Linked DNA regions of Arabidopsis thaliana. The protein of the gene in region 2 purifies or fractionates together with the protein of the main gene of each other region. This does not show direct contact. Each region holds a gene or a part of one and is shown on either strand. Other genes may lie near its edges.

What was found. Proteins that work in one complex are often made in the same cells at the same time.
Region 1: the proteins of ATB' GAMMA (region 2) and AOX1D purify together in Arabidopsis thaliana (affinity purification with mass spectrometry, with the first as the bait; one study listed by BioGRID). This does not show direct contact.

The regions. Positions count from the first base shown.
Region 1 is NC_003070.9:11,666,377-11,670,329, reverse strand, and holds AOX1D (alternative oxidase 1D), read left to right. Parts: upstream 1-1,639; 5' UTR 1,640-1,760; coding exon 1,761-2,168; intron 2,169-2,267; coding exon 2,268-2,461; intron 2,462-2,641; coding exon 2,642-2,936; coding exon of another isoform or gene 2,937-2,969; exon of another isoform or gene 2,970-3,033; coding exon 3,034-3,093; 3' UTR 3,094-3,444; downstream 3,445-3,953.
Region 2 is NC_003075.7:8,815,205-8,820,239, reverse strand, and holds ATB' GAMMA (Protein phosphatase 2A regulatory B subunit family protein), read right to left. Parts: upstream 3,319-5,035; 5' UTR 3,282-3,318; intron 3,210-3,281; exon of another isoform or gene 3,194-3,209; 5' UTR 2,810-3,193; exon of another isoform or gene 2,677-2,809; 5' UTR 2,534-2,676; coding exon 1,343-2,533; coding exon of another isoform or gene 1,269-1,342; coding exon 891-1,268; 3' UTR 513-890; downstream 1-512. Other genes in the region: PUX5 (serine/threonine protein phosphatase 2A 55 kDa regulatory subunit B prime gamma), read right to left, coding at 3,644-4,024, 4,125-4,220, 4,338-4,629, 4,876-5,035.

The DNA.
Region 1 (3,953 bases), on a different chromosome or scaffold from region 2:
TGTATTTGCTCAATTAACGTAATCTACTAGTGCGATTTATGAGTCACTTATCTTTACAAAAATATTAAAGAAATAGATGAACAAATCTATATATACATTTTTACAGCTATTTTAGCAAATAAATCATGAACTTGGACTTATTTACAATCTAATGTCATTAGCATTAAATCTTTTTTTAAAAATAATTAATTTTATTTTAAATTTTTGATTTAAATTGTCAATCACATTATCAATCAAATTTAATCCCACCAAACTTCAAATCAATCCTTTAAAATTAGCATAAACATATTTGCTAACAATATTTTAAAACAAATTTTTTTGTTAAATAAATATTATTTTTACTGAACGTTTTTTGTTTAAATAAATAAATTTTGTATTTGAACTTATTTAATATGTCATGTCACTGACATTAATTATTTATTAATGAAAATATTTAATTAAAGATTTAAATCTTCTAAATCCTTGCTTTTAGAGTTATTATGTCATTACCTTATAAGCAAAAATATTAATTTTTTTAAATATTATTATTTATATATTTAAAATTTATAAAACATTATTAATATTTAAACTTATAAAAAGTTCGATATATTACAATTTTTTAACATCATTATATAATATATAGAATTTTAAAAAAATCTTAATTTTTTCCGTCATATTTTATAATTCAAAATTTTAAAAATAAACATATATTAACAAATTAGCAAAAAATGTGTGGGTTCAACGTCCCGCATCGACAAAAATATTTAGACAATGATTTATAAACATATCATAAATAAGATCAACATTAATATAAATAAATAGTTTTTTTACGGGACGGGTTTGGCGGGACGGGTTTGGCAGGACGTTACTTAATAACAATTGTAAACTATAAAATAAAAATATATTATATATAGATTCAATTTGCAAAAAAAAAATTATACTAACTTTAAAAAGTTAAATTGTCACCGCGGTATACCGCGGGATAAAATCTAGTACAACATAATTTCAGAAAAATATACAATAGTCCTTTTCTATCTCAACATCTTTTTTGGATCAAAACCAAAACAAACTTAAAACAACTTATCATTTTTTAACACAGTAGCAATTCATTCTTTCTTTCTATCTTTCTTTTTTTTTTTTTTTTGTGTGTGTGTGTGTGTGTTTGAGTGGTAAAAGTAGCAATTCATTCTGATTCGAGAGAACCACATTTTTTTCTATATTATAAACTCTTCTTAATTTTTCTATTTATCAAATATAGTATAGATTCTAAATTAACATTTGTTTAAGAAAATATAACAAGGTATATACGAAATATAGGAAAAATTTAAGCGTCTTTGTATATTATGATAGTAACATGATCTGAGTTTGTAATTTCATGATGTGTAATAATATAGTTGGTGTGTCTATCTCGTGATAAACTGTAGTACTTTTTTGAATATATGAATTATTGAACAATAAGATAATAATATAATATGATGGTGACAAACACAATCCTTAAGTAATTTCACATGTTCTTTTACTTTTCCACAAACATAAAATGTAACAAAACGTGTCAAACATTTCCTCCATTCTTATTCATCCTCCAAGAAACTTTGAACTTGACCGAGATTAGTAATAATCACTCGTGTATATAAATTCATCTCTTCATAATTTATCTGCCACATATGAACATAACCCAATCTGAAGATCAATCATAACCTTAAACCATCTCTCATAATTTTAGTATTTCTATTCTCACCACCAAAACTCGTTGATACATCACACCCCAACTGTTGTTACTCATGTCCTACAGATCGATTTACCGCACTCTTCGACCGGTACTATCATCTTCGGTACAATCCTCCGGTTTAGGAATTGGAGGATTCAGGGGACATCTCATTAGCCACTTGCCCAATGTTCGGCTATTGAGCTCTGACACGTCATCTCCGGTAAGTGGGAATAACCAGCCAGAAAATCCTATCCGAACGGCCGATGGTAAAGTTATATCCACTTATTGGGGTATACCTCCTACTAAGATCACTAAACCGGACGGTTCAGCTTGGAAGTGGAATTGTTTTCAGCCATGGGATTCATACAAACCGGATGTGTCCATTGATGTAACTAAACATCATAAACCCTCCAATTTCACTGACAAATTCGCATATTGGACCGTTCAAACTCTGAAAATACCGGTTCAACTATTTTTTCAGGTAATTTAATCAGAAATTTTAAATCTTCTTCATTTGTTCTTTTATTTTTAACATGATTTTGTTTTTTCAAAAATTGAATAATTTGATTTTTGAGTATAGAGGAAGCACATGTGCCATGCGATGTTGCTAGAGACGGTGGCTGCGGTGCCGGGAATGGTCGGGGGGATGCTTTTGCACTTGAAATCTCTCCGGAGGTTCGAACATAGCGGGGGATGGATCAAAGCTTTGCTCGAAGAGGCTGAGAACGAGCGTATGCATCTCATGACTTTCATCGAACTTTCACAACCCAAATGGTATGTATATATGCATGCATGTACCTTTTTAGTTTATTACCTTTTCTAAATAACACGTAACTTGTATTACATTTCTAATCAAGTTTGGTTTGACCTAGATCGGTTATCTAATAGAAACAGTTCTAACCTAAAACTTTTGGAATTGTGTAATTCATTTATCATTTGAACCGGTGTTTGAAGGTACGAACGAGCGATTGTGTTCACGGTCCAAGGCGTTTTCTTCAACGCATATTTCCTGGCTTATGTAATTTCACCCAAACTTGCTCATCGTATCACTGGATACTTAGAAGAAGAGGCTGTAAATTCTTACACTGAATTTCTCAAAGACATTGATGCCGGAAAATTCGAAAACTCGCCAGCTCCAGCCATCGCAATCGATTACTGGCGGTTGCCTAAAGATGCAACGCTTAGGGATGTGGTTTATGTTATACGAGCTGACGAAGCTCACCACCGTGATATTAACCACTATGCTTCGGTAAGGAGTTGTATAGTTTATTTGTCAAAATGATAAAACAATGTGATATTGGTATAAAATGTAAATTTCGTTACAATATGGAATTTTATGTGTGCAGGATATACAATTCAAAGGACATGAACTCAAGGAAGCTCCGGCTCCTATTGGATATCATTAAAGATTATGTGACAAAGTCACAAAGCTGTGTATACATCTATGAACATATGTTGTTGTGGATCTCCATGATATTTTTATTTTATGTTTTCGATTTATTTAAAACTGTTATTCGTTTTTATTAGCTCAATATGGATATTTAAACCATATTATTTTGTTACGATTTATGAACATAGTACTACTCATGTGTGTGTAAAAGATCATACTGCCTGGACACGAAGCGGATATCCGGAAAAATTATAATATTTGTTTTTTGATTCGTTTTAACCGAATACTTGATTTTGTGATTTGCTTCGATTCGAAAATTTCCGGATATCCGGAAATTCGAATATCCGATTTTTTTTGTGATATTTGCGGATATCTGCTTTGATACATATAAATAATAAAAAAAATCTGTAAACTATACAAGCATATCAAATATTCAATGTTTTTATTTAACATCCTTTCAAAATAAGTTCTAAATACCAAACATAACTGTTGTTGTTATCACCAGTCAACAAAATGTTATCAAATTAATTAAAACAAAAACAAAAACCGATAGTTTAAGATGCCATTAATCAAAACATAACATAAAAGAAAAATGATCAAACAAACATCTTAACATAAAAACAGAAGATAACAACAATACACAAACTATTTATGATATTTATATATAGACATAATTATATATTCTAATATATATATATATATATATATATATATATATATATATATATATAAATACGGATCGAAGCGGATATTCGATTTTTTAAAAAACAATATTTGTTATTTGCTTCGATTTTTATGAATACCATATTTTCTTATTTGCTTTGCTCCAAAATCTTACGGATGTTCGGATTTTTCAAATCGAATCAAATCGAATAC
Region 2 (5,035 bases):
AAAATTTATAAAACATTATTAATATTTAAACTTATAAAAAGTTTGATATATCACAATTTTTTAACATCATTATATAATATATAGAGTTTAAAAAAATCTTAATTTTTTCTGTCACATTTTATGATTCAAAATTTTAAAAATGAACATATATTAACCAATTGGCAAACAATGTGTGGGTTCAATGTCCTGCATCGACAAAAATATTTAGAGAATGATTTATAAACATATCATAAATAAGATCAATATTAATATAAATAAATGATTTTTTTACAGGACAGGTTTGGCGGGACGGGTTTGGCAGGACGTTACTTAATAACAATTGTAAACTATAAAATAAAAATATATTATAGATAGATACAATTTGCAAAAAAAAAATTATACTAACTTTAAATTAAAATCTAGTGTTATATATGATTTTTGTATTTTCTAAAACTCACACGAAAAAAAACATGACTTGTTTACGAAAATGCCGTTGCATATATACCGAACCAAACCGAGATTCGATAACTTCGGTTATGATTTGGTTAGTAGGGGAGCTAAATTAATGAACTTCAAAGCATAAAATACAATTCATTCCACAATACAAATACGAATAATTGTTTAGTCGTCCTCTCAAGAACTATATCTATAAGCCATATTTCTTACACCTCAGATTGTTATTCAACTAAGAGCTGAGTAAGAAAAAAAAAGGATCAGAAGCAACAAACAATTGAACCCATGATTCCATAAACCTGAAAAAAATGTTATAATTAAGTATTCACTGATGATATTGCCCTTCTTAATCATCGTGCTTAATCTTCTTCAAGGACTGATCCTGATGCTCGAACGGATCGATACAATTCTGCTGGATTGTTTGAAAGTATGTCTCGGTGATAGAGAGCAGAAAGTGTTCAACTACCCGAAGTTTTACCGGTTGCAAGAGTAACTGAAGATGAAAATCGGGGGACGAGCACTGCCTCGTTGCTTACGGATTTCGAAGCTGCTAACTCTTCCAAAAGCTTCCATGTTGCTTCTCGTTTGGCTACAACCTCGGTTTCATTCGCTTCATCTTCTTGGAACTTGGCTAAGCATTCATCAAACAGAATTTGGTCTGTCTCTGCCATTACCTTTCTCACATTCAAAGTCAGACTCTGAACTGCTTGGTTCCAATGCCCCCGTGTGTTTCTCTCCATAGCCGGGAACACAATGGGCATTATCACTTTATGGTTTTGAGTAATCAGGTTTCTTATGTGATCGTTGTTCCATAGAAATAGAGCCCTTTCAGCCACCTGACAAAAGAAGCAACTTTGAATATAACCTGCAAAATTGCGAGACTATATGAACAACTTATCGAGAGTCGCACCTGAAAATGTGAACTGTTGAGGCATCTAGCGATTTGACGAAATAAAGGAACCATACATCGCTGAAACTCAGCTGCTTGAGTTGCTTCCAAAACTTCTTCCAACTCTCCAAGAAACATAACTTCCTTTGAACTATTAGTCACAGGCCAATACTTTAGAAGTCCTCTAATGACCGTATCAGCAAGCTTGAAGTCTTTCTCTACAAACTGAACAATGCAATAAGAAAGCTGTTGATGATAAGCAGATGCACATTTAGGTCTGTGGAGTGGAATCAATGCCCGGATTAGGAAGAGCTTATGCTCTTCTTTTAACGGTAAAGCGAAACCGTTGATTATACTTCCTAGTATCTCAAGCAACTCTGCAATACCGTTATGCTTTTCGGTTTCAAAAATGAATCTGTAGAAGATATTGTTGATCGCCTTTCTGATAAAGGGTCGGTGCACCATGAATTTCCCGTATATCCGATGAAGAATGGTCTTTAGATATTCCCTCTCTCTCTGGTCTTCAGAGTCAAACAAATCCAAGAGCTTCAAGACAAATGAATGGTCAATATATCTCTTTGCAAGCTTTGCATCAGTCATAGGCGAGGCCACAAATCTAAGAAGAAGCTCATAGACAACTTGAAGATGAGGCCAAGCCGGCTCTAAAGCAGGTTCCTCATCATCCACATCAAGCGTTTCGAGAATCTTACTCTCGTGATTCGCAGAAGGAAACGTCCTGAAAAGATTAACAACAGCCACTTTCGCAATCTCTTGCATTGCAGCATCACTCAACTTTGTAGAAACCGTTGCAATATAATCAACAAGCTCAAGCAAAGTCTGTCTCTTTATCTCTTTCTCTCTCAGATTCTTCGACGGATCATTGAAGTCGAACACAACGCAACACATACTCAACTTCTTGATAAACAGATTAGGTTTCTCCGAGGTAGGAACATCTCTAAAGCTTGGCAATGCTTCATAAACTCCATTGACTTGATTGGTTCTGTTAGAGCTCGTTGAAGAAGGAGCAATAACAGTTCCATTTGCTCCATTCGAATTCGATGCGGATGATTTCGAAGAAGGCTTCGAGATACTACTAATACCCGAATTGGGAATGTAATATGAATTAACCCCACCTTCTCCGTTTGGATTCGAGTCATTATGCGAAGATTTTGAAGGTTTTCTGGGCAATTTCCCAAATATCTGTTTGATCATAATTACAGAAACCCTAAATTATCTCCCCACAAAAGGGCCAAAACCCTTCCCTTTTTTTCTCTACTTCGCAACAAGCCTAAACTAAACCAGTAAAACCCAAAAGCTTTGGTTCTAAATCAAAACCCTAATCATTGAACACAGCCCTGCATGTAGACAAAGCCTAAATTCATAATCGGAAACACAATCTCATAAACAGAATCAAAGATTAGCTTAAGAAGATCCAGAGAAAACAACAAAATGTAAACTTTGGAGAGAGGAGGAAGAAGAGGAGCTTACAAATGGCAGATGAGTAGAGAGAGAGATCTGGGCACTGGAGATGAATGAAATCAAGAGAAACCCTAAGAAAATGGCGAGCTTCAAGTAAAAAAGGAAGGATCTTTGTGATAAACCCTGTAAAAACAGCTACTTTTTCTCGCCCTAAACTGAATCGAGAGCAGAGGAAAGAGAAAAAAAGGGGAAAAGGCAACGAAGCCCAGCAAAGAGAAAAAAAAAATCTGGGAAGTTACAGAACACACAACACGAAGATTAAGGTTGTAATGAAAACTAAAATAGGAAAATAAATTAATAATTGTCCTTCGCTATCTCTTCCTCTGTAGATTTTCACTGTAAATCTCAATATCTCTGGCTTTCTTTGGATTCCGAATAACAGACATTATAGAACTGTTTACAAAAAAATAAAATTAATTTTCCAAAAAAAAGGTTTTGAAGAGAACAAGGAAAATGACAGATGGGCAGGTACGTTAATTACCATTATGTCCCTGATATTAGGAGAGCGTATGTGTGTGGAATTTATGCAGAAGCTGGTCAATTCGTCAATTCACGAGTCCAAGGATATAAGTAATTTGCTCATTGGATAATATTTTTTCGATTATTCTTTCTAAAAGATATGGTAGTAGCTAGTCGATTGAAGAAATAAATAAATTATGCAAAAGCTAAACTGCTAAAGTTATTAATAAATCTGAAGAAAAGAGTTTGATAAATCTACGAAAATCCAAAGCCTCTAGAGCGTTGACCAGATAGTTAGAGACTAAAGTCAACGATCAGGTTCAAAAACACAAAAGCAAAAAAAAAAAAAGAGAGACATAAATCGAAGGGATGAGTTATGTAAGTCTAGAATTTCTGGATGACGACGGCATTAGCTATACCAGCTTGCTCGATGGTTTGGTCCAATTCTGTCAATTGTTTAGGAGGGAACCCCATGGTTAGCAACTGGTACTCTTTGGAGCCACCGGGTCTAGAAGCGTCGATAAACCCACGTACATCTCTGACAGTGTGGTGGTTGTTGAACCTGGAGACAAGGCGTGTTCCGTCTGCTAATCTGAGCTGGATAGAGGTTGTCGGTGCTGCTGGATCTACAACTAGCCCTCTTGATGGTGCTGGTGCTACGTTCATTGGGGCAGATGAAGCTTGTGGTGCTGAACTTGAACCAGATCCGCTGGCTCCTAGGGTTCTTCCTACACCTTGGAATGGATTTTTAGGCTTTGGTGGTTCCTGTGAGTCAAAAGATACAGACGTTAAAAGAATCCTATGAGTGGCTTCTCCAGAGAATAGGTTAACGAGATTATTATTGATAGATGGGAATGAGACTTACGGTGAAATTTTCTCCACGCCTGACCAGATCGACATGAACAGGGATCTTCTTATCTGCTGGTTCGAGTTCGCTGGGGCACTCTGACCTTGAGATGCTCTGCAAAAGACAACATATATATTAGGGATTCAAAGACTATCCAAGTGAGTAAAGACAAGTATCAAGCTTGATTTCCATGGAATTGTAGTTACTAATTAGAGAAAATCTGGACATTACATTCATAAAGGCTGCGTTTTCAGGGTCACTGAACCCTCTTAACGGACCATCATTAACAGTGAAACCATTCAACCAGAAAGTGATGGTGTGCATAATCCTTTGAGGCTGCTCTTGCTGTTGTTGCTGAGGAGAAGACGAAACAGCTTCACCAGACAACAAACGCGCAGCTCCAGTGAAGCTTGTAGAAGCTGATCTTGATGGTTCAACAGGTCTGTCTACAGCTGACTGCCTAGCTTGGTCAAAAAGTTCATCAACATCTTTCACTTTCTTAGGATCTTGTACCATCATCCCACTACAACACATTACACAATCCAAAAACAAAACTCTATTAGCGACACAAACATACACTTTCTCCAGCTATATAAGAATTTCAAGAAAGACAATTCAGCTACATACACAAGATATGGTCAATCCCTAAACTATCATTGATCTACGCACATTGCTCAAGTTCATGATCATGTTGCCCTAATTCACTTTCTCAACAGTATTATCATCTAAGTATTTTCCAAACTATGATCAGATCTGTTGAAAATTGTACCTCTTTTGTCCACCGGTATAATACTCATTAGCTTCATCCGAATCACTGCCCTCGCCATCAGCCGGAGAACGGTTCAGATCGGCGAATGTACGGATATTCCCAGCGTGTTGACGACTCCTAGAACTCCGAATTCCCGACGGATTCTCAGTTTCTTTATTCT